Saccharomyces cerevisiae S288C: one gene and its partner. The protein of the gene in region 2 interacts with the protein of the main gene of each other region in a pairwise test. Each region holds a gene or a part of one and is shown on either strand. Other genes may lie near its edges. The genes, in order: PDR17 and PBI1.

Region 1 (14,709 bases), on a different chromosome or scaffold from region 2:
AGTCAATAAAGAGGAAGATTTAGGTGATATGTCAATGGTAAAAGTCAGGAACAGAACGGATGACGAAGCGTATAGAAATGCTTTAGTAATACAGAGTGCCGCAAATGTTCCAATTTTACCTGATGATAGTCAAGACAGAAGCCCAGAGTTGAACTTTGGCTCAAACTTGGACGAAGTACTCATCGAGAATGGAATTAATAGCAAAAATATACATAGCCAAACTGACGCTTTAGCAGACCAGATGAGAGTTTCAGCTGTTATGTTAGCACAATTGGATAAGTCGCCACAACAGTTATCAGAAAGTACCAAACAAATCCGCGCTCAAATTATTTCATCAATGAAGGAGGTGCAGGATAAATTTGGTTACCATGATTTGGAAGCCCTTCATGGAATGGCAGGTGAGAGAAAATTGGAAAACGATTTAATGACGGGTGGTATTGACACTTCATATCTAGGTGAAGATTGGGCTACCAAGAAAGAGAGGATACGTAAAACTTCGGAATATGGCCATTTCGAAAACTGGGATTTATGTTCTGTAATCGCCAAGACGGGTGATGATTTGAGACAGGAGGCGTTTGCATACCAGATGATTCAAGCGATGGCCAATATTTGGGTTAAAGAAAAAGTTGACGTTTGGGTTAAAAGAATGAAAATTTTAATTACTAGTGCGAATACGGGACTTGTGGAGACCATCACAAATGCTATGTCTGTGCATAGTATTAAAAAGGCTTTAACCAAAAAAATGATTGAAGATGCAGAACTAGATGACAAGGGTGGTATTGCCTCTTTGAATGATCACTTCCTTAGAGCTTTTGGTAATCCTAATGGATTTAAGTATAGAAGAGCACAAGACAACTTTGCTTCTTCGTTAGCCGCATATTCTGTCATTTGCTATCTCTTGCAGGTTAAAGATAGACACAACGGTAACATTATGATCGATAACGAAGGCCATGTAAGTCACATCGATTTTGGATTTATGCTATCAAATTCACCCGGCTCAGTGGGCTTTGAGGCCGCACCATTCAAATTAACTTACGAATATATTGAACTGCTAGGCGGAGTAGAGGGAGAAGCGTTTAAAAAGTTTGTTGAACTAACTAAAAGTTCGTTCAAGGCTCTGAGAAAGTATGCTGATCAAATCGTATCAATGTGTGAGATTATGCAAAAGGACAATATGCAGCCTTGTTTCGATGCTGGCGAACAAACAAGTGTACAACTACGACAAAGGTTCCAATTGGACTTATCAGAAAAAGAAGTTGATGACTTCGTAGAAAATTTCTTGATAGGTAAATCTTTGGGTAGTATTTACACCAGAATATACGACCAATTTCAACTTATTACACAGGGTATATATAGCTGAGAAGGAAAATAGCTGTGACAGAACTGGAAAAACAATTTGCAAATGTCCGGAGAACAAAAAAATTGGAATTTTAGTAAAAGGAATATACATATATTTATTTATTGCCGAGAATAATAGAGCAGCTGACTCAGAAAAAGCAAGGTAAAAGAATGAGAGTAAAATAAATATGTGGTTAATTAACCATACATATAAATTATTATCTTATTTTCTGCGTAAAGCGTCAAACCGTTTCTTCAACTCATCTAGTTCATCATTTTCTTGCTCCTTCTTAGTCTTTCTTTTTGTAGTTTTCTTTTCTGATTGTTTCTTTTCGATCACTTCCTTTTTGATATCTTTCGGAATCTTGAGCTCGTTCTTGATATTTTCACTATTCTGCCTAGGCTTTTTAACAGTGATAGGGTGTTTAGCATCTGCATTGTCATTATCGTCATTATCTAAGGCTAAAATAGGCTTTTCTTCGTCATTATCCTCGATATCTCCCGAGGGGTCACTAAAGTCTGAAGAAATGTTAGAAGACGACGAAGATAAGGAATTCTCCAGCTTACTATATGGCACATCGTATGTTTTCGCGATTTCCTTCAAATAAAGATCAACTAGTTCTTCTTTTGGAACTGAGGGAGAGCATTTTTTTATAATCTTTTCAGGGACATCGATATGATCTGCTATTACTCCATTAACAAACTCAACGTTTATTTTCCAGGCCATCAAATCTTTCAATTGGCTAAGTTCTTTGACTTCATCAACGAAAAGAATCGCATAGATTAGGGATCTGATAGCTTCGTTAATACCATCATCCATATGCTCTTTGACAAGCTGTTCCTCGGTGGAGATATCGTTTATTACCTGCACTCTAGCCAGTAGTAATTCACAATATAGTTCCAATATCTCTAGTAGCTCAATATGAATATCGTCATGAATTAGCGTCTCCACACGATAATGCGCCTTCTGTTCTTTATTTGTCAGTAACAGTTGTGCAACCTGTCTTCGAGACTGCTTTGCAATCGCCTGTTGCTTTTCTTGAGCATATCTTAACCTTTGAATACACATTTTCAGGCATGTTTTAAGCTTGATCTATAACAATAATTTGGATGATAGTTTTACCCTTCTTCAGTTAGTACATCCTAGATCTTTTGCATACTAAAGCTTTTTAAAAATTACTATAAAATATAAACATACAGTGAACGGAATCATTGACGGAGCCATTTTTAGTTGTCGTATTCTCTTATCTATCTTCTATGTTGACTAGTTCTGATTGATTAGCTGGAACTAATAGTATATATAATTTTCACACCCTTTGGAATTCAGAAGGCGTTTTTTTTTTCATGAAACAAAACAATAGAGTGCGGATAGCCGATTCAGTTGATTCTAAAAGTATATAAAATGCGATAAGCGCATAAGCAGCCATTATAAACGTACATCTGAGTCTAGATATATACGTTTGTGTAGCGGGAAACGTTAAAAAAAAAAATCTTAATTATAGTTTATCAAATGACCATATCAACAGGATATTTTAATTCGTCATGTTGGCCCTTGGTGTCATATTCACTTAATCCGACAATGCCTCCAAACTTTAAAAATCTATCAAAACGTTTCAATCGTAAATCGTCAACTTTCTTAACCATATCTGGCCAATAGACTTCATGTTTATACTTGAAGTCTAACAGACCATTGTATAGAGCATCTAGTTGAGATGGCTCTATGTGGTTTTCAAATGGTTCGTCAAAGATAGCCTTCGCCTTAGTGGCAGGGTCAAGGAACGGATACATCATCTTCAAAAAAGCCCACGCAAACCATGGGATATTGATCAGGACACACTTAGCTAACCTTTCAGGGTAATGATCTTGCATGACGTTCAAACACATCCTAGCAATAGAGATGGGTGGAGCTTTATCAGTGATAATACCAGGTTCTTTATAACTTTTGAAATCTACCAAGACTGTGATCTTTTCTACACCTTGGGGAGCTACAGTTGTCGCAGTTTCCATCATGTAGACTAATTCTTGGACTTGTCTAAAGGAAGATTCTGTGTTTTGACGACCATTTTTCATGTAGTATAGAGGTCTTTTAGCGTTGTCAAAGCCCAAAATAACCTGTTTACCAGTTTCGTTCTCAACGGCAACTTTGTCAGCTGTTAAAGGGTCTTTGTCCTCCTTACCATGTGTAAGTCCAATTTCTCTCCTCCATACCAAGGTTTTGGTGAGACCTTTTATGGCGTTCGCGGTGTTCCATTTATTGGCTCTTAGGTATCTTAGAAAACACTCCCTAGAAAGCCAAAACTTCTCCCAATCACTCAAGGGTCTGTCATTGGCATGTGTCCCATTGTCAAGGTCATTGAGATTTTCTGGTAATTTCAGATCATCATCTTGAAAATGTCGTAAGACAGCTCTATATTTTTCGTTTTGATCTTCGGAGATGGGTTCCAGTAGAGGTGCGTTACCATACTTGGCAGGAGGGTCCAAGAATATCTTATCACATGGAATAAGTTTCTCTTTAGGCACAGCAGGCGTATGGTCCCGTTTTCTTGAAAAAAGACCCATTTTTGTTCTTCTTCTTGTGCTTTCTTTGTGTGATTTTTCAGGGTCTTTTTTTTTAAACAATGATGTAAATTAAATCTATCTAAAAAGCGTGATTTTTCCCACGAATTTTAATCCCTCTATTGTTCTCTTTCCACTCCATATTGAGTGAAAGGAAAAATAAGAAAAGTAAATAGAAAATTTATGACGTAGGAATAAAAGTATATAAGTATTTAACAAATTGACCGTAGATAATAATAATGCGCATGAAATTAAATCCTCTCTTTGATCTCTTCAATCAAGATCAACCCATTAACCACATTAGAACATTTTGCCAAATGAAGCCATAGACGAATAGGAAGTAATTGCACTTCTTGACGGTCGATTTGCTGATGGAAACGTGTATATCATCGTCTTCAGCACCGGAGCGGCTTAGTAAATTGAACTTGACGGATCTTAGTAGGAATACGCCAAAGGCAATAAATAAGTAAAATTTTATCAAAATATTCAGGTTAAATGGCATGGTCACGTTGGTCAAAAGCTGGGCGAGAATCAATGGAACAAATTTGTAGCCGACATAGCACAACAGTTCGACCAAACTGAAGCTTGGAATCTTAGAATCGATCAAAAGATACAAGCCAAGCTTCAAAATCAACAAATCTAAACACACAAACGCCAGAGTAGAAGACAGTTTGTAGTACAAGTCTTCGGGGTTGAATGAACCCTTCAGACCTTGCTGCGTATTCCAGATGAGAATATAGGTAACTAGTCCCATAATAGGCATGTACATGTCTGGGGAGTTCACGTCATCCCTTGGTGGCAAAAAGTTGCCAGAGTCCATAATTCGTTGCCAGTTCTTGGTTCCGTTAAGAAAAGGAACTAGGATGAGTTTCAATTTATTGATGACATAACGGGTGCTGACTTGAAAATACGTTGAAATTTGTTGAGAGCCGGCAGCGTTTGCAGTGGCTTTATTGACCGTTTCTTGAAACTGGTTAAAGTTATCCTGACCAATAAAATTAGAAAATGCGCTCTGCCCTAGTTGGAATGCCATCGAACCACGAGGATCTTGGAATGGAAAACCACCGCCACTGCCATTTACGTTTGCATTCATATTCGCATTACCTTGGCCATTCACGGGCGTGTTCCTCGGAATTTGCATTGGTCGTTGCTGTTGTGGAGTGTGGGAAAAGCGATCGTTAACGCCATTCTGCTCACTTGTTGCATATGCGTACGGATTATAAGACATCTTGGTATGGGCCTTTGGTTTTCGTTTTCTGCTATTGATACTCAGTAGCGAGGTCTTACAATCGAAAAGTCAAAAAGATGAGTTGTAGTATAAAACAACAGCTCTGGTGTGCAATATGGATCTTGATACAGAGTCTCGGATATGCTGTTTTAGCACTGAGAAAAAGTAATAGTAACACTGTCAGTGTTCGTCAAAGGCCCAAGTTTATTGTCATTTGAATTGTCAGAATGGTTTATTTTCAGGTAGGGTAACCAGAACGCGTAAGTTTCTTGCATCTTTTACCATTTTAACTGGAAGAGGACCTATCAAAAAGAGCATATGATGATGAAAGAGCACATTCTATCAAGATAACACTCTCAGGGGACAAGTATATGATGTTTGGCAAGAAAAAAAACAACGGAGGATCTTCCACTGCAAGATATTCAGCTGGCAACAAGTACAACACACTCTCAAATAATTATGCGCTTAGCGCGCAACAGCTCTTAAATGCTAGTAAGATCGATGACATCGATTCGATGATGGGATTTGAAAGATACGTACCGCCGCAATACAATGGCAGGTTTGATGCGAAGGATATAGATCAGATTCCAGGCCGCGTAGGGTGGCTGACGAACATGCACGCAACGCTGGTCTCTCAGGAAACCTTATCCAGTGGTAGTAATGGCGGCGGCAATTCGAATGACGGAGAACGTGTAACGACCAACCAAGGTATTTCCGGAGTTGACTTCTACTTTTTAGATGAAGAGGGTGGGAGCTTCAAGTCGACAGTTGTCTATGACCCATACTTCTTTATTGCGTGTAACGATGAATCAAGAGTAAATGATGTGGAGGAACTAGTGAAAAAATATCTGGAATCTTGTCTCAAAAGCTTACAAATCATTAGAAAGGAAGATCTTACCATGGACAATCACCTTTTAGGGCTGCAGAAGACACTTATTAAGTTATCATTTGTAAATTCCAATCAGTTATTCGAGGCCAGGAAACTCCTGAGGCCAATCTTGCAGGATAATGCCAATAATAATGTGCAAAGAAATATATATAACGTTGCTGCAAATGGCTCGGAAAAAGTTGACGCCAAACATCTGATCGAAGATATCAGGGAATATGATGTGCCGTATCATGTCCGAGTATCTATAGACAAGGACATTAGAGTCGGTAAATGGTATAAGGTAACTCAACAGGGATTCATTGAAGATACTAGGAAAATTGCATTTGCCGACCCTGTGGTAATGGCATTTGATATAGAAACCACGAAGCCGCCTTTAAAATTCCCGGATTCCGCCGTAGATCAAATAATGATGATTTCGTATATGATCGATGGGGAAGGTTTTTTGATAACAAATAGGGAGATAATCTCTGAGGATATTGAAGACTTTGAGTATACACCGAAACCGGAGTATCCTGGTTTTTTCACCATATTTAACGAAAACGATGAAGTGGCGCTTCTACAAAGGTTTTTTGAACATATAAGAGATGTACGACCCACTGTTATATCCACCTTCAATGGTGACTTTTTCGATTGGCCTTTTATACATAACAGAAGTAAGATTCACGGCTTGGACATGTTCGATGAAATTGGTTTCGCTCCAGATGCTGAAGGTGAGTACAAGTCCTCATACTGCTCTCACATGGATTGTTTCCGTTGGGTGAAGCGTGATTCTTATTTACCACAAGGTTCCCAGGGTTTAAAAGCTGTTACTCAATCTAAGCTAGGTTATAACCCAATTGAACTGGATCCCGAATTAATGACGCCGTATGCATTTGAAAAGCCACAGCACCTTTCCGAATATTCTGTTTCCGATGCAGTCGCTACGTATTACCTTTACATGAAATATGTTCATCCTTTTATCTTTTCCCTTTGTACTATTATTCCTTTGAACCCGGATGAAACATTGAGAAAGGGTACCGGTACTTTGTGTGAAATGTTGTTGATGGTTCAAGCTTATCAACATAATATTCTTCTACCAAATAAGCATACAGATCCCATTGAGAGGTTCTATGATGGACATCTTCTAGAATCCGAGACTTACGTGGGTGGACATGTGGAGTCATTAGAAGCTGGTGTTTTTAGGAGTGATTTGAAGAATGAATTCAAGATAGATCCTTCTGCCATTGATGAATTATTACAAGAATTACCAGAAGCTTTGAAATTTAGTGTGGAAGTTGAAAATAAGTCCAGTGTAGATAAAGTAACGAATTTTGAGGAAATAAAAAACCAGATAACGCAGAAATTATTAGAGTTGAAGGAAAACAATATAAGAAACGAACTACCTTTGATCTATCATGTAGATGTCGCCTCTATGTACCCAAACATCATGACTACAAATAGACTACAACCAGATAGTATCAAAGCAGAGCGCGATTGTGCTAGTTGCGATTTTAATAGACCCGGAAAAACCTGTGCAAGAAAGTTAAAATGGGCTTGGAGAGGAGAATTCTTTCCCAGTAAGATGGATGAGTATAACATGATCAAGCGTGCATTACAAAATGAGACTTTTCCCAACAAAAACAAGTTTTCTAAAAAGAAAGTTTTGACATTTGATGAACTAAGTTACGCAGACCAAGTTATCCACATAAAAAAACGTTTAACTGAATATTCAAGGAAAGTTTATCATAGGGTTAAAGTATCAGAAATTGTCGAACGAGAAGCCATTGTCTGCCAAAGAGAAAATCCATTCTACGTCGATACCGTGAAATCCTTTCGTGATAGGCGTTACGAATTCAAAGGTTTAGCCAAGACTTGGAAGGGAAATCTGTCCAAAATTGACCCATCTGATAAGCATGCGAGAGACGAGGCCAAAAAGATGATTGTGCTTTATGACTCATTACAATTAGCTCACAAAGTTATTTTGAATTCGTTTTATGGGTATGTTATGAGGAAAGGCTCTCGTTGGTATTCCATGGAAATGGCGGGGATTACGTGTTTAACAGGTGCCACGATCATTCAAATGGCGAGAGCTTTAGTAGAAAGGGTAGGAAGACCATTAGAATTAGATACTGATGGTATTTGGTGTATCTTACCAAAATCTTTCCCTGAAACTTACTTTTTTACATTAGAAAATGGTAAAAAGCTTTATCTCTCCTACCCATGTTCCATGCTGAATTACAGAGTTCACCAAAAGTTTACGAATCACCAATACCAAGAATTAAAAGACCCATTGAACTATATATATGAGACGCACAGTGAAAACACGATTTTTTTCGAAGTTGACGGACCATATAAGGCCATGATTTTGCCTAGTTCCAAGGAAGAAGGAAAAGGTATAAAGAAAAGATATGCTGTCTTCAATGAAGACGGCTCACTTGCTGAACTGAAAGGTTTTGAATTGAAGAGGCGTGGTGAATTACAACTAATAAAAAATTTTCAAAGTGATATTTTCAAGGTCTTTTTGGAAGGTGATACATTAGAAGGATGTTACAGTGCTGTAGCAAGCGTATGTAACCGTTGGTTAGATGTTCTTGATTCACATGGTCTTATGTTAGAAGATGAAGACTTGGTCAGTTTGATTTGTGAAAATAGAAGTATGTCAAAAACTTTAAAGGAATATGAAGGGCAAAAATCTACTTCTATTACGACGGCAAGGAGATTGGGGGATTTTTTGGGTGAAGATATGGTAAAAGATAAAGGTCTACAATGTAAATATATTATTAGTTCAAAACCTTTCAATGCACCTGTTACTGAACGAGCCATTCCAGTCGCAATATTTTCAGCGGACATTCCCATCAAAAGGTCTTTTCTGAGGCGATGGACATTAGATCCATCTTTGGAAGATCTGGATATCAGAACCATAATCGATTGGGGTTATTATAGAGAAAGACTTGGATCTGCTATACAAAAGATAATTACTATTCCAGCAGCATTACAAGGGGTTTCCAATCCTGTTCCAAGGGTTGAACATCCAGATTGGCTAAAAAGAAAAATCGCTACAAAGGAGGATAAGTTTAAGCAGACTTCACTAACCAAATTTTTTTCGAAGACAAAGAATGTACCAACAATGGGCAAGATAAAAGATATCGAGGATTTGTTTGAACCAACTGTAGAAGAAGATAACGCCAAAATTAAAATTGCAAGAACTACTAAAAAGAAAGCCGTATCCAAGAGGAAAAGAAATCAGCTTACAAATGAAGAAGATCCACTAGTATTGCCCTCGGAGATTCCTTCCATGGACGAGGACTATGTTGGGTGGCTAAATTATCAAAAAATTAAATGGAAAATCCAAGCAAGAGATAGAAAGCGTCGAGACCAATTATTTGGTAATACAAACAGCTCCCGTGAAAGAAGTGCACTAGGAAGTATGATTAGGAAGCAAGCTGAATCATATGCGAACTCCACTTGGGAGGTCTTACAATACAAGGATTCCGGTGAGCCAGGGGTTTTGGAAGTATTTGTAACAATTAATGGCAAAGTCCAGAACATCACCTTCCATATACCAAAAACTATTTATATGAAATTCAAATCTCAAACAATGCCGCTACAAAAGATTAAGAATTGCCTTATTGAAAAATCTTCTGCATCGTTACCAAATAATCCCAAAACGTCTAATCCAGCAGGCGGTCAGCTATTCAAAATTACTCTACCGGAATCTGTCTTTCTGGAAGAAAAGGAAAACTGCACTAGTATCTTCAACGATGAAAATGTACTTGGTGTATTTGAGGGCACTATCACTCCTCATCAAAGAGCGATCATGGATTTGGGAGCTTCGGTAACGTTCCGCTCAAAAGCAATGGGTGCGTTAGGCAAGGGAATACAGCAGGGTTTTGAAATGAAGGATCTTTCAATGGCGGAAAATGAAAGGTATCTGAGTGGATTTTCAATGGACATTGGCTATTTACTACATTTCCCAACATCAATTGGGTATGAATTTTTTTCATTATTCAAGTCATGGGGAGATACTATTACTATATTAGTTTTGAAACCATCCAACCAGGCTCAGGAAATAAATGCCTCATCATTAGGACAAATATACAAACAAATGTTTGAAAAAAAGAAAGGTAAAATAGAAACATATTCTTACTTGGTTGATATTAAAGAAGATATCAATTTTGAGTTTGTATATTTTACAGATATCTCAAAATTGTACAGAAGACTATCACAGGAAACTACTAAATTAAAAGAAGAAAGAGGTCTGCAGTTTTTACTCTTGTTACAATCTCCGTTTATCACTAAGCTCTTAGGCACAATCCGGCTTCTAAACCAGATGCCCATTGTTAAGCTTTCCTTGAATGAAGTTCTTCTACCCCAATTGAACTGGCAACCGACATTATTGAAGAAACTTGTTAACCACGTTTTATCCAGTGGTTCGTGGATTTCTCACTTGATCAAGTTATCCCAGTATAGTAACATTCCAATCTGTAATTTGAGGCTGGATAGTATGGATTATATTATTGATGTTCTTTATGCAAGAAAACTAAAAAAAGAGAACATCGTGCTTTGGTGGAATGAGAAAGCTCCACTTCCAGATCATGGAGGCATTCAAAATGATTTTGATTTAAATACATCATGGATAATGAATGATTCAGAATTTCCCAAAATTAATAACTCAGGTGTGTATGACAATGTAGTTCTCGATGTTGGTGTTGATAATTTAACAGTGAACACAATTTTGACATCAGCATTAATCAATGATGCTGAAGGCAGTGATCTAGTTAACAATAATATGGGTATAGATGACAAAGATGCCGTTATTAACTCGCCATCTGAATTCGTGCACGACGCCTTTTCTAATGACGCTTTGAATGTTTTAAGAGGTATGTTAAAGGAGTGGTGGGATGAGGCCCTAAAAGAAAATTCAACCGCAGATTTGTTGGTAAATTCCCTGGCAAGTTGGGTTCAAAACCCGAATGCGAAACTATTCGACGGATTACTAAGATATCACGTTCATAACTTAACAAAAAAAGCCTTACTTCAATTAGTAAATGAATTTAGTGCACTTGGCTCAACTATTGTATATGCAGACAGGAATCAAATTCTAATAAAGACAAACAAGTACTCACCTGAAAACTGTTACGCCTACAGCCAATATATGATGAAGGCAGTTAGAACAAATCCAATGTTTAGTTATCTGGACTTAAATATCAAACGTTATTGGGATCTGCTAATATGGATGGATAAGTTTAATTTTAGTGGATTAGCATGTATTGAAATAGAGGAAAAGGAAAATCAGGATTATACCGCTGTTTCGCAATGGCAACTAAAGAAGTTTCTGTCACCAATATATCAGCCCGAATTTGAGGATTGGATGATGATCATATTGGATAGTATGCTAAAGACAAAGCAGAGCTATCTAAAATTGAATTCAGGGACGCAAAGACCTACCCAAATAGTTAATGTAAAAAAACAAGATAAGGAAGATAGTGTTGAAAACTCGTTGAACGGATTTTCTCACCTTTTTTCCAAACCACTAATGAAAAGAGTCAAAAAGCTTTTTAAAAACCAGCAAGAGTTCATTTTAGATCCTCAGTATGAGGCAGACTATGTTATTCCTGTTCTTCCTGGTTCCCATCTGAATGTGAAAAATCCCCTTCTAGAACTTGTCAAATCACTCTGCCATGTCATGTTACTTTCAAAGAGTACAATTTTAGAAATCAGGACCCTGAGAAAAGAACTGCTGAAGATATTTGAATTGCGTGAGTTTGCTAAAGTAGCGGAATTCAAAGATCCAAGTTTGAGTCTCGTGGTGCCGGATTTTTTATGTGAATACTGTTTTTTCATTTCTGATATTGACTTTTGTAAGGCAGCTCCTGAATCTATTTTTTCATGCGTCAGATGTCACAAAGCCTTTAATCAAGTATTGTTGCAAGAACACCTGATTCAAAAACTACGTTCTGATATCGAATCCTATTTAATTCAAGATTTGAGATGCTCCAGATGTCATAAAGTGAAACGTGACTATATGAGTGCCCACTGTCCATGTGCCGGCGCGTGGGAAGGAACTCTCCCCAGAGAAAGCATTGTTCAAAAGTTAAATGTGTTTAAGCAAGTAGCCAAGTATTACGGTTTTGATATATTATTGAGTTGTATTGCTGATTTGACCATATGAGTAAGCAGTATATAACGCGAGGTTCAATGGCCTCTTTACCATGAAAAAAAAAAAAAAAAAAAAAAAAAGGTAAGGAAAAAGAGTATTTTCAATTCGTTTCTGAACATATAAATATAAATAACCGAAAAATTAGCCCTTGAACATAATTAACACTCTTCTTTGATATTTAAATCACAAGTACTTTTCTTTTATTTTCTTCTTAATACTTTTGGAAATAAAATGAATGTGACCACTCCGGAAGTTGCTTTTAGGGAATATCAAACCAACTGTCTCGCATCGTATATTTCTGCTGATCCAGACATAACTCCTTCAAATTTAATCTTGCAAGGTTATAGTGGAACAGGAAAAACCTACACTTTGAAGAAGTATTTTAATGCGAATCCAAATTTGCATGCAGTATGGCTGGAACCTGTTGAGTTGGTTTCTTGGAAGCCCTTACTGCAGGCGATAGCACGTACTGTACAATATAAATTGAAAACCCTATATCCAAACATTCCCACCACAGATTACGATCCTTTACAGGTTGAAGAGCCATTTCTTTTGGTAAAGACGTTGCACAATATTTTTGTCCAATATGAATCTTTGCAAGAAAAGACTTGCTTGTTCTTGATATTGGATGGTTTCGATAGTTTACAAGATTTAGACGCCGCACTGTTTAACAAATATATCAAACTAAATGAATTACTTCCAAAAGATTCTAAAATTAATATAAAATTCATTTACACGATGTTAGAGACATCATTTTTGCAAAGATATTCTACACATTGCATTCCAACTGTTATGTTTCCGAGGTATAATGTGGACGAAGTTTCTACTATATTAGTGATGTCTAGATGTGGCGAACTCATGGAAGATTCTTGTCTACGTAAGCGTATCATTGAAGAGCAGATAACGGACTGTACAGACGATCAATTTCAAAATGTAGCTGCGAACTTCATTCACTTAATTGTGCAGGCTTTTCATTCTTATACTGGAAACGACATATTCGCATTGAATGACTTGATAGACTTCAAATGGCCCAAGTATGTATCTCGCATTACTAAGGAAAACATATTTGAACCACTGGCTCTTTACAAAAGTGCCATCAAACTATTTTTAAGCACAGATGATAATTTAAGTGAAAATGGACAAGGTGAAAGCGCGATAACCACAAATCGTGATGACCTTGAGAACAGTCAAACTTACGACTTATCAATAATTTCGAAGTATCTGCTCATAGCCTCATATATTTGTTCATATCTGGAACCTAGATACGATGCGAGTATTTTCTCTAGGAAAACACGTATCATACAAGGTAGAGCTGCTTATGGACGAAGAAAGAAGAAAGAAGTTAACCCTAGATATTTACAGCCTTCTTTATTTGCTATTGAAAGACTTTTGGCTATTTTCCAAGCTATATTCCCTATTCAAGGTAAGGCGGAGAGTGGTTCCCTATCTGCACTTCGTGAGGAATCCTTAATGAAAGCGAATATCGAGGTTTTTCAAAATTTATCCGAATTGCATACATTGAAATTAATAGCTACAACCATGAACAAGAATATCGACTATTTGAGTCCTAAAGTCAGGTGGAAAGTAAACGTTCCCTGGGAAATTATTAAAGAAATATCAGAATCTGTTCATTTCAATATCAGCGATTACTTCAGCGATATTCACGAATGATTATCTCCCTGGAAGGTATCCAGAGGGCAGGATACGTTCGAAACAACAACTACGTTATATAAATATTTATACATAGTGGGATAGAATGAACAATTATCAAGTAAACCTTGTATTTTTTGTTCCCACGCTCTACGCTCTGTTTCTTGGATATGGTAATCAAAGATTAATACGTATAACCGTTATTAATTCAGTCCACTAGAAACTATTAAAAGCGCCCTACTGTATGGAAAAACAATGAATGAGGAGACTGAACGGCGCAAAATTGTTAGTTTAGTTGCTCTTTTTGGCGGCCGGCGATAATGTTCTTCACTTGGTATTCTTACCAGGATTGAGCCTGATTTTGTTTTGTCTTATTCTTTGCGATGTCTTCATTTTCTACAAAACCTCTAATTTCTCCGGCAATGGCCCTTGAAACGTCTTCAAAGACTTCAAATGTCACGGTGGGGGTTCTTTTATCTTTAACTAATCGATGAAGAGTTATTAGAATGGTTCTAAACTTATTTTTCAATTTTATTAACACCCTCTCAAATTCCATCACACTTTCATCATCGTTATTCATTTTCAAACCTTTCATTAAAGTACGAATGGTATGTATATTCTTTTCTAGTGTTGGACTATGCAATCCATACGATTCTATAACATCACACAAACCTTCCATTTGTCCCAGGAGCGTAAATCTTTGGAATCCCACTTGTAAACCATACTGTTTACCTTCTAGAAAGCTCTGCTTTATATTCTCATTCTGGCCCTCCAGAAAACCTTCTTGGTAATACTGTTCTTCTAGGTTTAGTAAATTATCAAAATCCATTTTTATTTGTCCAGTGATCTTTACTTTCCATTTACTCTTCAAATATGATAAGTGATTTGATTTAAACAAGTTTTTTTTCA
Region 2 (13,770 bases):
AGCACGGTGTCTTGAGAGACGGCACTACCATGGAAGAAATCGCACAAGTTATTAAGGACTTGGGCGACAAAATAAATCCTAACTTCTCGTTCTTAGGAATCAACTGCGTCAGCTTCAACCAATCACCCGACATTCTTGAGTCTCTACATCAAGCACTACCAAATATGGCCTTGCTTGCTTATCCAAACAGTGGTGAAGTTTATGATACTGAAAAGAAGATATGGTTGCCAAATAGCGATAAGCTGAACAGTTGGGATACGGTTGTTAAACAGTACATTAGCAGCGGTGCCCGTATCATTGGTGGTTGTTGCAGAACAAGTCCAAAAGACATCCAAGAGATTTCTGCAGCCGTCAAGAAATACACGTAAATGCGTTTTTAAAGAAGTTAAATAATTCTTAACATTATATATATGCTAAAAGCAGCATGTTACACTAAATACATTTTATAAACAATAGAAAGTATGTTAATACAATGCTTTTCAAAGCGACCATGACTTTCCGTACTTGGCCGACAAAAAAACAGAGTAAATAAAATGTCTATTATAATCGGGCGAGAATTAATAAACTAGCAGTTTAGCACAGCAGAATTTAGGCATACACGATGGATGAAAAGGTGTAGCCACACGAACCTGTCGAGATCCCTTTTTCTGTCTACTAAATCCACATAGGCCAGACTATTTCGTAAAGATATGTCCCCTGAATGCCGCAGCTTGCTGTATTTACCGTCACTTCTTTTTGCTCAGTTATACTGGAAATGACGGCCTCGGCATGCCAAAGTTCCAGAAACAGTGCAATTTCCTGTCATATCTCCTATCAATAGTTTCTTTAGCATATATGTTGATTAAATTTTGATAAGAATAAATAAAATGGAAAAAATACGTACTATACAGACATATATTTAATGCGTCACCTGCCTATTCAATAAAGGATTCGAAGCATTCTACAAAAGATTCTAAATTATACGAATCAGGGTAGTGAATACAGATATTCAGGCCCATCTCTTCACAGTATGTATAGGAAAGAGACATTAATGTGGGGCGATTTATCGAACTTGTAAATCCCGTACTTACAATTTTGAAAGATTTGTCATCGCCGTTCATCGATAACGATATGTCGGAAACATCATTGATTTGAATCAATTTTGTCCTTGAATTTTGGATATGGAAATCGTCGTCATTGTCATACTTCATCCTCCTTATATCGTCATCATTAAACCCATTCTTTTCCCAACTCCTCAGTTTTGCCATAATAAAACCGCTAACGTGCTTTGTAACTTTATTAAATTGATATTCCATCAATCTTTCATTAAACTCATCATCATTATCCTCGTTATCGTTACTGTTGGTCAAAAATTCGTTGGCGGAAAGTTCGTCATCAATTAGAGAAAGTGGACATTCGACCCTTAGTTCTTTGAAGAAGAGACCCAATGACCCACCTAAGCCTAAGTGGTTTCTTAAATTTATGGGAATAGTAAATACTATTGTACCGCTGAAATCCTTAACGAGAGGTTTTAAACATATCATTGCAATACCACAGATGAAACTTCTTAGACATATATGCTCTTGATTAACGATTGACTTTAAATAGTTAAACCTTTGGTTGTTTACTATCCCAAATACTGTTGTCCCGCATAATGAGGTGTGCGCATTTAGAATATCATTATACTTTTTCAGCTGTGTTGCAGATACTGACGAGCTGAGGGAAGTTTGATTGGTTAAATAGCCGAAAGGTCTTTTTAAAGTGTTATAGTATATTGATTTGAAAAATGACTGAGTTTGCTTGTGGAAGATTTGTGGTGTCATAGCGGGCAGGTGTAATTTTGCGCTATCATATATCGATTTGGGAAATTTTAATTCTGAGAGATTGATGTCATTGACATCAAACAAAATCCTATCTTCAGAGTGTGTTACTGTGCTGATTTCGTTTAACTCTTTTAAAAATAATTTGTGAAAGTTAGCTGCTGAAAATATATCAAACAATACGTCGTGACCATGAAAAACCAATAGCGCTTCGTCAATTACATATAGTGTCCATAAAGGTTTATTTGATCCGGGAACAAATCTAGTCTTGTTGAAGGCATGACGCAAGAGATAAGGAGGTGGAACACCCCAATGGCAATTGACCTCCTTATCTTTTATGGTTTCAAACTCAATCACATTAACAATATCGGAAGTTTTCAGCTGCTTCAATGGCTCGAATTCCCATTCTTCGTTTACAGTTGCAAACAATGCCGGTTGCGATTTAATCAATCTCTTCAAAGTTGTTGCTATTAGGGGCAGAGTCAGACGAGAATCATCTTTGGAAGAATTTGTTCCGAGCGTGACTTCATCAGAATGCCAGTCAGCGTCATTTTCTCTACTTAAAGATTTTGAATATGTACTCGAAAAAATAGTTCCATTTCTTTGGTCATTCAAAGATTGAGTGAGAATTTTTTTTTCAAAACTTGATAGTGGCCTAAACGTAGTCATTATGATAAAGTGAGGATGTGTCTGTGTTGTGAGTTACAAATGCACTTCTTTGGACAGGTATAACAAGGATAACGTATACACCCTTTTATATATGACCGTCCCCCCATACAAATTTGTGCTCGTATGCCGAGTGTGATCTACTCATCGCTTCGTTAATGAATCGTTTAGCCAAGAATATAGTAAACGTGTAGCAGAGTCATACCCCTGATGGCTGCAGACGCAGGGAATACTCAGCCTCGAAACAGTTTTCAATTTATGTGCGTATGCATGGCTATAATCTTCTATTTCTGTCACCTTTCGTTTATTCTAAACGAATTTGCGACGTTCAACGAAAGCGCGTTGAAAAAATTAATCTCTGAAGTTAAACGGTCGGAAAACAGACAAAAAAGTTGTTGTTATTACTTGTAGAGGAAAGAGCTATTTCATAGCTCGTTTGGGAATGCAGGGGTGACGTCCTTCTTCGGGTGTGTTGTCCTAACTTTCCTTAAACACATTGGGCTATCATACCAGTGAAAAAGAAACATACAATGGTCAGATTCGCTTTATTTGGCTACGAGAATGTGGCGGCTAAGTTCCCTCAACAACTATTCCACCAATCTTGATGGCTTTTCTAAGGCTCTAAGTAGACGTTAAGGTGGCTAAGATTCTAAAATTTTGCCATTTTTCGAGGTTGTGCTTCGCCCTATCCCTTGGAAAACATTTCTAATCATCTTAAATTCTGTGATTGAGAACGTTTTAACGTTATCTTAAACGTTTCCATAGAAGAACGAACGTGAAGGTTTGTAGCTCGTTAAAAGGCGATCTTGAATGATGTGAAGAAGTGTAAAAGGCTTAGGAAAGTTGCTTGTTGACCCGGTGTCGTTCAATATACTCCTATTACCCAAATGGCAGTTTCATAGAGTGATATTATTTCGTTGCCTTGTGTAAGTTAGAAGTACTTCTTGTCGATTGTGAATTCGGATAGCCGCTAGAACGCCAATCATTGCGGAGGTTTGCCATCGCATGGATACCATAGCCATCTGCACATTCTAATATAGATTATATTACTTTAGACCATGTCATTTCATAATCGTTGGTTTAAGCGGTGTTGTTTCCACAGTTTGTATGAGAACTTTTGTCCAAAGTAAAGTATCAGTAACGTAATCTGAGCAAACCTACATTAAATCGTAACTCCGCGAGATTCTTTTGTTCAGGTGGATCAGCGGCGTGGTTTACTTCCGATTTGCTCATCGTGCGCATAGCAGCATTTATTCCTCTAATTCGCTCGATAATCAACCTTTCCGCACTACGACGGTGGCAATAGTTGGACCTTAAGATATGCCTATCTGAATACAATTCTTCAACTCACATCAGTGGGACACTAAATAAAGCATATGGTATGAAATACTATGAATTATTGAATTATTGGCAGACACAGCAGCGACAAGTCAGAGTGCTTACAAAAAAAAAAGAGTTGATCCGGCTAAAGAAAGTCTGATTTACGTATTTATCCAGGTTCAAACGGATTGCCAAAAATAGTCGATAACCTCGGAGTAAGCAAAGCAACAATATATTTGTTCTTCGAAAAGGTAAACTTCTTAACTTCTATAGAAGCATTGTACTAGTTCTCTCGAAGAAAAAAACTAAGAAAGCTATAGCTGTATCTTACCAAGCCATGAACTTGAGGAATTGGTAATCCTTATTAGGAAATACGCTAAACTAGGTAATAGCAGATGATTTACTAGCTTACTATCTCACACTAAGTCTGGCAACGCGCTTATTTTTTAATACTTTTATACGAACCAATGAAATTTGATCCTCCCCTTTTTCGTCTAGTTAAATGAAGAGATACAAGTAGGCCTTTCTATTGAGTACTTAGCAAGATATGTATTTCTAAGAAACATCAACAGTTTCAGCCCACAACCGATTCATAAAATGTCTGCCTGGAGGAAAGCTGGTATATCATATGCTGCATATTTGAATGTGGCCGCTCAGGCTATCCGTTCTTCATTGAAAACTGAATTACAAACCGCTAGTGTTCTTAACAGATCGCAAACAGATGCTTTTTATACCCAATATAAAAATGGCACTGCAGCTTCTGAACCCACTCCAATAACAAAATAGTTTAACGCTTCCTGGGAACTGCAGCTCTTTTTTTACTCGCTGATATACATTTTAAATATTCTAGCAACTGTGTATGAAAACTTACGTACTTTTATACGGGAAACTAATAATGACTACAATGATATTGAATACTGGCCGCTTCGAAGAGTGGTATAAAGTTTGTATCATTGCATTAAAAGAAAAAGAAATATATGTCCCATCATCGCCAATCGCAATGTTGAATGGTCGTTTACCACTTTTGCGGCTGGGCATATGCAGAAACATGCTGTCCCGTCCCCGACTGGCTAAACTGCCATCTATAAGGTTTCGGTCTTTGGTCACCCCTTCTTCATCGCAGCTCATTCCTCTCAGTCGGTTGTGTTTAAGGTCACCTGCAGTTGGAAAATCACTAATTTTACAAAGTTTTAGATGTAATTCATCCAAAACAGTTCCAGAAACTTCTCTGCCTTCAGCCTCTCCCATATCTAAAGGATCAGCAAGGTCGGCACATGCAAAGGAGCAATCTAAAACTGATGACTATAAAGATATAATAAGGTTATTTATGTTGGCGAAACGGGATTGGAAACTGCTTCTTACAGCCATACTTCTTTTAACCATATCATGTTCCATAGGCATGTCTATTCCTAAAGTCATAGGTATTGTCCTTGACACACTTAAGACGTCATCTGGATCAGATTTTTTTGATTTGAAGATACCGATTTTTTCTTTGCCTTTATATGAGTTTCTTTCCTTTTTTACTGTTGCTTTACTGATTGGTTGTGCTGCTAATTTTGGTAGATTTATATTATTGAGGATACTAAGTGAGCGTGTTGTTGCACGCCTAAGGGCAAATGTCATTAAAAAAACGCTTCATCAAGACGCAGAATTCTTCGACAACCATAAAGTTGGGGATTTAATTTCTCGTTTAGGATCTGATGCTTATGTTGTTTCAAGATCAATGACCCAGAAGGTCTCGGATGGGGTCAAAGCCCTAATTTGTGGGGTTGTTGGCGTGGGGATGATGTGTTCTTTGTCACCTCAACTATCAATATTGTTACTATTCTTCACTCCACCTGTTCTTTTTAGTGCCTCAGTGTTCGGGAAGCAAATTAGAAACACCTCTAAAGACCTTCAAGAAGCTACTGGTCAATTGACTAGAGTCGCTGAAGAACAACTCTCTGGTATCAAGACGGTTCAGTCGTTTGTTGCTGAAGGTAATGAATTGTCTAGGTATAACGTTGCAATTAGAGATATTTTTCAGGTGGGAAAAACTGCGGCATTTACAAACGCAAAGTTTTTTACTACAACTAGTCTCTTAGGTGACCTAAGTTTTTTAACCGTCCTTGCGTATGGCTCCTATCTTGTTTTACAATCACAGCTCTCCATTGGTGATCTGACTGCATTTATGCTGTACACAGAATATACGGGGAATGCGGTATTCGGCCTTTCTACCTTCTATTCGGAAATTATGCAGGGTGCTGGGGCCGCTTCCAGGTTGTTTGAATTAACAGATAGGAAACCTTCCATTTCACCGACTGTGGGACACAAGTATAAACCAGATCGTGGTGTTATCGAATTTAAAGATGTTTCATTTAGCTACCCTACAAGGCCTTCTGTTCAAATATTCAAGAATTTAAATTTTAAAATTGCGCCAGGATCGAGTGTTTGTATTGTGGGCCCTTCAGGTCGTGGTAAATCTACAATTGCACTCTTACTGCTAAGATATTATAATCCCACTACTGGGACTATTACGATAGATAACCAAGATATCTCTAAATTGAATTGTAAATCCCTAAGAAGGCATATTGGTATCGTTCAGCAAGAGCCGGTACTGATGTCAGGTACTATTAGGGATAATATCACTTATGGGTTGACATATACCCCAACAAAGGAAGAAATCAGGTCAGTAGCAAAGCAGTGCTTTTGCCATAACTTTATCACAAAATTTCCGAACACATACGATACGGTAATTGGTCCTCACGGCACCTTACTAAGTGGAGGACAAAAGCAGCGTATTGCGATTGCAAGGGCTCTAATCAAAAAGCCAACTATTTTGATTCTTGATGAAGCTACATCAGCTTTAGATGTTGAAAGTGAAGGAGCCATTAACTATACGTTTGGTCAACTAATGAAATCAAAATCGATGACTATTGTTAGCATCGCGCACAGGCTAAGTACGATCAGAAGATCAGAGAATGTTATTGTCCTTGGCCATGATGGATCAGTGGTAGAAATGGGCAAATTCAAAGAATTGTATGCGAATCCAACAAGTGCTTTATCGCAATTACTTAATGAGAAAGCGGCTCCTGGGCCATCTGACCAACAACTGCAAATAGAGAAGGTCATCGAAAAGGAAGATTTGAATGAGAGTAAGGAGCATGATGACCAGAAAAAGGACGATAATGACGATAATGATAATAATCATGATAACGACAGCAATAACCAGTCTCCAGAGACGAAAGACAATAATTCAGATGATATTGAAAAATCTGTCGAACATCTCCTGAAAGACGCGGCAAAGGAGGCTAATCCAATTAAGATCACACCACAACCGTGAGTCATCCGCATCGCATATACCCATTCTTATCTCGCACATTTAAATATATACTATATATAATACTGTTAAATGCCAAATAAAAAGGATTTTCATTACCCGAATCGATACTTTTGGTAGCATAAACAAATAACATTGAAACAATAACAAAGTGTAATGTGGCCGCACGAATCTTTGTCTGTAACAGCCTTAAAGATTTCAGTAGCACTGCCATGGATAATGATGGACCCAGATCTATGACCATTGGGGATGACTTCCAAGAGAACTTTTGTGAACGTTTAGAAAGAATTCACAATACATTACATTCAATAAACGATTGCAACTCATTGAATGAGAGTACCACAAGTATATCAGAGACATTGTTAGTTCAATTTTATGATGATTTGGAGAACGTTGCCTCGGTAATTCCCGACTTAGTCAACAAGAAAAGACTGGGAAAAGACGATATTTTGTTGTTTATGGACTGGTTATTATTGAAAAAATATATGCTATATCAATTTATTAGTGACGTTCATAATATTGAGGAAGGTTTTGCTCATTTGTTGGATTTACTAGAGGATGAATTCTCGAAGGACGATCAGGATAGCGACAAATACAATCGATTTAGCCCGATGTTTGACGTCATAGAAGAATCTACACAAATTAAGACTCAGTTGGAGCCATGGCTTACTAACTTGAAGGAATTATTGGATACGTCATTGGAATTTAACGAAATTTCAAAGGATCATATGGATACATTACATAAAATCATTAATAGCAATATATCGTATTGTCTGGAAATTCAGGAAGAAAGGTTCGCGTCCCCGATACGGCATACTCCATCATTTACCCTAGAACAACTAGTCAAGTTATTAGGAACGCATACGGAGACAACTGAGCCAAAGGTACCAAAATTTTCTCCGGCAGAAGATATTTTATCAAGAAAGTTCTTGAACCTAAAAAAAAATATCCCTCCAATTGAAAAAAGTTTGACTGATATCCTACCTCAAAGAATTGTGCAATTTGGGCACCGGAATATAACAAACATAACTACTTTGCAAACAATCTTGCAAAAAAAATACGAGCTGATAATGAAAGATTATAGATTTATGAATTCAGAGTTTAGGGAATTGAAAGTCGAACTAATCGACAAACGTTGGAATATACTCTTTATTAATTTAAATCATGAACTATTATACATTCTTGATGAGATAGAAAGGTTGCAGTCGAAATTACTGACAACAAAGTATACCAAAGATATCACTATAAGGCTCGAGAGGCAATTGGAGAGAAAATCAAAAACTGTTTCTAAGACATTCAATATTATTTACAGAGCATTGGAATTCTCACTTTTGGACGCTGGCGTCGCATCGAAGACAAATGAATTAGCTCAAAGATGGCTGAATATCAAGCCTACAGCGGATAAAATTCTAATCAAATCCTCCGCTTCAAACAAAATAGCTACTAGCAAGAAGAAGATTCCAAAACCGAAATCATTAGGCTTTGGGCGACCGAATAGTGTTATTGGAACTATAACCCAGGATTTCCAGGAGAGAGTCGCCATTAATGAAGGTGACAGTAATAAAACACCGGAAAATTCAACTACAGTGGCTTTGAAAGGTAAAAAGCTTGGTAAAGCGTTACTGCAGAAGATGAATATTAAACCTGCAACAAGCCCAAATTCATCAAATGCGATTAATCCATTTTTTGATCCGGAGTCGCCAAACAAAGGAAAACTGATACTAAGTAGTGTTCCTCCCTTACCTTATGACGAAACCGATGAAACCACCCTCCGTGTTTCTCGTGGGGAAAATGAAAAGTCACCAGACTCCTTCATTACATCTCGGCATGAAAATAAAGTACAGATTACAGAAACTCCTTTGATGGCAAAGAATAAGTCTGTGCTTGACATCGAAAAAGATAAATGGAATCATTACCGGTCCTTGCCCTCTAGGATCCCTATATACAAGGATAAAGTGGTGAAAGTCACCGTAGAAAACACACCGATAGCAAAGGTTTTCCAGACTCCGCCAACAAAAATCACGACACCTAATAGTCAAGTTTGGGTCCCTTCGACAAGAAGAAGAACCCGATTGAGGCCTCCCACCCCCTTATCACAGTTACTTTCACCAAGAGAAGGGCGTTTAGATAAAACCCCAACTTATTGATACTAACCTAAAACTGTATACTTATACATTTTTATATATCCTCCCTCTCACCCTCTCCATTCATAGAATTTGTAATACTAGTTTAAATAATGTAATATTATGTGTAATTTTAAATAGTCCATGAAGATTCCGCACGTTTTCATTTTACAGTTTTTGACACCTTTACCCGACGCTTTATAAAAAAAATAGTATAAGCATCACGACATAAGCAGCCTCAGGTCATTAAAACAATAAAAGACTGGGAATTATAAACGTACAACGGTAAGGTCATTCACGCAGTGTATATGAATGACTGAAAGTGCTATAGATGACCAAAGGTTTAATCTTACAAAGGAGTTACAACGACACTCATGCAGAGATCAAGGGAAAATAACACAAAAGGATGATGCTTTAGATTTTATAAGTTACAGTTCTTTTCAATCCTCTTTTAATACTGACCAAAAAAGCGCGAACAATGGAAGTACTGTGAGAAGAAGCATAAGGTCGATTTTTAGAAGAGCAGCCGAATTGCCTAGAGTCCATATGGGGCCTCTTACTTATTCACATGGGATAAATGAGCTTGTTAACAAGAAATTAAGAAAAGACTGTGATCTCAGCACGCTATGTCGCGTATTGCAAAGAGGAATCAGGATGATTAGGATGACAAGAAGAAGAAGGAAGTTCTATGAATTTAAATTAATCAATAACAACGGGCAAATAATATGGAAAGATGGTTCGAAGTATCTGGAATTAGACTCCGTTAAAGACATCAGAATCGGTGATACGGCGAGTACTTATCAAGAGGAAGTAGATCCGAAAAGATTGAGATCGGACAGTAAACTTTGGATTGCTATTATTTATAAGGTTTCCAACAAATTGAAAGCGTTACACGTAGTTGCTTTGAATGAATTGGACTTTAACACATTCTTAAGCTGCATTTGCGGTTTAGTGAAGTTAAGGAGGGAATTAATGGAAAGCATACTTTTGCCTGATAATTCGCAATTCGCTAGGATACATTGGCAAATTACTGTTTCTGAAAAAGAGGAAGATGAGAAAAAGGACACATTGAGCTTTGCAGATGTGAAGAAACTATGTGATAAATTTCATATTTATGTGTCAACTGGTCAATTGTTAGAGTTTTTCCAATTAGCAGACATCAATCATAACGGACTATTAAATTATTTTGAATTTGAAAAGTTCATTAAAATCTTAAAGAATAGGAAAGAGGTAAATATGATTTGGTCTAAATTTACAAAACCTCCACACTCCCACTTATCATTTGAAAATTTTTTTCAATTTTTAATTACAGAGCAGCATGAGCAAGTGGATCGTCAAACTGCATGGTCATATTTTATTAAGTACAGAGAACCGACTCAGCTGACGATGGGGCAAGATGGTTTTACCAAGTTCTTGAAGGAGCAACCATATTTGGTGGAGGTTAAAGAGGAGTTATATTCAAAGCCATTAAACCATTATTTTATTGCATCTTCACATAATACTTATTTATTGGGGAAACAAATTGCAGAAACTCCATCTGTGGAGGGATATATTCAAGTCCTACAACAAGGTTGTAGGTGCGTAGAAATTGATATATGGGATGGTGAAAATGGGCCAGTGGTATGCCATGGATTTTTAACGTCAGCTATTCCCTTAAAAACAGTTATACGCGTGATAAAGAAGTACGCTTTTATAACGTCTCCGTATCCTTTGATTATTTCACTGGAAATAAACTGTAACAAGGATAATCAAAAATTGGCAAGCCTGATAATGAGAGAGGTTTTAGCAGAACAGCTGTACTTTGTTGGCACAAGAACTGATAAACTGCCATCACCAAGGGAATTAAAACATAAAATACTGTTGAAATCCAAGAAGACGAGTGAAGCAACTAGAGGTCTTAGCGTTAATGAGCCATTTCCATCTTCTTTTAGTTCTTCTTACGAATCAGCTAATGAACAGGAATTAAGAATGAAAGATGACTCCACGAACAGTAGTAGCGCAACAAATTCTTCTAGTATGCAACGCATCAAAAGAATTGGATTAAAAAAGCACGCTGATATAATTAATGATGTTTCTAACATTTCTGGAATACATGGCATCAAGTTCAGGAATTTCTCTTTACCAGAGTCCAAAACGATAGCGCATTGTTTTTCACTGAATGAGCGCAAAGTAGAATACATGATAAAAGACAAACACTTAAAATTATCGTTGGATAAACATAATAGAAGATATTTGATGAGAGTCTATCCTCACGTTTTACGATACAAATCATCAAATTTTAACCCAATACCTTTTTGGAAGGCCGGTGTACAAATGGTGGCTACGAATTGGCAAACTAATGATATTGGACAGCAACTTAATCTGGCAATGTTTCAAATATTAGATCACCAACCTGATGGAAGTTTTAAATCAGGATACGTGCTAAAACCAAAAAAGTTGCTACCTGTAGTAACAAAGGCGAAAATGATTCCATTAATTTACGAACATTTTGAAAATGGTAGTGATCCTGTTACTGTTAAAATTCGAATTTTATCTACACAGTTATTGCCCAGATTGAATGATACATCGCCAAGCAGAAATAACACCAATTCCTTTGTTAAAGTGGAGTTTCATACCGATGACGAGCCGACAATGCCCATCTCAATCGATAAGGGTACAAGGATTTCTGCCACTGAAGCATCCACTAAGAGTTCTCAAGGGAATGGATTCAACCCAATATGGGATGCTGAAGTTTCTATCACATTGAAAGATACAGACCTCACATTTATAAAATTCATGGTTATCTCTGAAGAGACCCAGATTGCATCTGTTTGCCTTAAGCTGAACTATTTGAGGATGGGATATCGTCACATTCCGTTGTTTAACATGGAGGGGGAACAATACATATTTTGCACTTTATTTATTCATACACAAATTTTATAGGCGATCTTTTTCCGGCCAAATACACATATTCATAAATACGTACATATACCTACTTGCATATACCAACATGATTACCTAGAATGGATATATCAAATGGGACGACGAAGTACCACGACAATACACAATAACAACTTCTGTTTTTCGCTGATTGCCTTCTCTTCAGCAGAAAGTTGATGCATATTTCGCGTAGCGCGTTGACGCGTCTTCTTTCTGAAGTTTTGTGCTTTTGTTATCATACTATATAAAGTAAAAAGAAAGGAGAACATATTAAGCATTACTGAATTAGGATCCTTTGGAAGAAATAAAGTAAGAGACACTGAAAGATGATATCACCATCAAAAAAGAGAACCATTTTATCAAGCAAGAATATAAACCAAAAACCACGAGCAGTGGTAAAAGGCAATGAACTTCGTTCACCATCAAAGAGAAGGTCACAAATAGACACAGACTATGCACTAAGGCGAAGTCCAATAAAGACAATCCAAATTTCTAAAGCTGCACAATTTATGCTGTATGAGGAAACGGCTGAAGAAAGAAACATAGCTGTCCACAGACATAATGAAATATACAATAATAACAATTCTGTGAGCAATGAGAATAATCCTTCCCAAGTAAAAGAAAACCTTTCACCCGCTAAAATTTGCCCTTATGAAAGAGCATTTTTAAGGGAAGGAGGAAGAATTGCATTGAAGGACTTAAGTGTTGACGAATTCAAAGGTTACATACAGGATCCTCTCACCGATGAGACTATACCACTGACGTTGCCACTGGGTGATAAAAAAATCAGCCTACCCAGTTTTATAACGCCGCCAAGAAATTCGAAGATATCTATTTTCTTCACTAGTAAACACCAAGGACAGAACCCAGAGACAAAGATATCCCGTTCTACCGATGACGTCAGTGAAAAAAAAGTAGTGAGAAAACTGTCCTTCCACGTCTATGAAGATGAGTAAATAATGTACACAGTTAGCGTCTAATAATTAATTAACGATACCAATTTAATTCATTCACGTATTCCTCACCTCGTGTGTAAATTACTAACAGAGTAGTAATAATAATAAGAATCAATAATAATAATAAATCCATCCTTGTGTATTACCCGGGTTAGAGGGTAGAAAAATTTTTGAAAATCGCGATGAGCTGAAAATTGAAAATATTTGGTTATAACATAAGATCGATAAATTAGGAACAGTGCATTATACAGTGGACTCATTCGGTTAGAAGCTTTAGACGTCGTACCTTTTATATCGATACAAATAAAAATAAAATTATACCATGGGAAAGGCTGCGAAAAAGAAGTACTCCGGAGCAACTTCGTCCAAACAAGTCTCTGCCGAGAAACATTTGAGTTCAGTATTTAAATTCAACACAGATCTAGGTCAGCATATTTTGAAAAATCCTTTGGTGGCGCAAGGTATTGTTGATAAGGCACAGATTAGACCCTCAGATGTTGTTTTGGAGGTTGGTCCTGGTACAGGTAACCTAACTGTAAGGATCCTCGAACAAGCAAAAAACGTAGTGGCAGTAGAAATGGATCCCAGAATGGCTGCAGAATTAACTAAGAGGGTACGTGGCACACCTGTGGAGAAAAAGTTAGAAATCATGCTTGGAGATTTTATGA

The links.
Region 1: the proteins of PBI1 (region 2) and PDR17 interact in binary tests that used the Saccharomyces cerevisiae proteins (3 or more experiments, as listed by UniProt).

Annotation. Positions count from the first base shown.
Region 1 is NC_001146.8:142,719-157,427, forward strand, and holds PDR17 (phosphatidylinositol transporter), read right to left. Parts: upstream 3,898-14,709; coding exon 2,845-3,897; downstream 1-2,844. Other genes in the region: PIK1 (1-phosphatidylinositol 4-kinase), read left to right, coding at 1-1,360; IST1 (Ist1p), read right to left, coding at 1,562-2,431, 2,537-2,563; protein transporter YIF1, read right to left, coding at 4,178-5,122; POL2 (DNA polymerase epsilon catalytic subunit), read left to right, coding at 5,494-12,162; ORC5 (origin recognition complex subunit 5), read left to right, coding at 12,382-13,821; ribosome biosynthesis protein LTO1, read right to left, coding at 14,141-14,629. UniProt on the Saccharomyces cerevisiae protein: Has phosphatidylinositol transfer activity. Involved in the regulation of the phospholipid composition of plasma- and endomembranes. Altering plasma membrane composition may provide a possible mechanism for multidrug resistance.
Region 2 is NC_001148.4:25,697-39,466, forward strand, and holds PBI1 (Pbi1p), read right to left. Parts: upstream 2,469-13,770; coding exon 915-2,468; downstream 1-914. Other genes in the region: S-adenosylmethionine-homocysteine S-methyltransferase SAM4, read left to right, coding at 1-368; ATP15 (F1F0 ATP synthase subunit epsilon), read left to right, coding at 4,383-4,571; ATP-binding cassette permease MDL2, read left to right, coding at 4,786-7,107; KAR9 (Kar9p), read left to right, coding at 7,317-9,251; PLC1 (phosphatidylinositol phospholipase C), read left to right, coding at 9,540-12,149; ACM1 (Acm1p), read left to right, coding at 12,473-13,102; DIM1 (putative dimethyladenosine transferase), read left to right, coding at 13,425-13,770. UniProt on the Saccharomyces cerevisiae protein: Phosphatidic acid-binding protein involved in interorganelle phosphatidylserine (PtdSer) transport.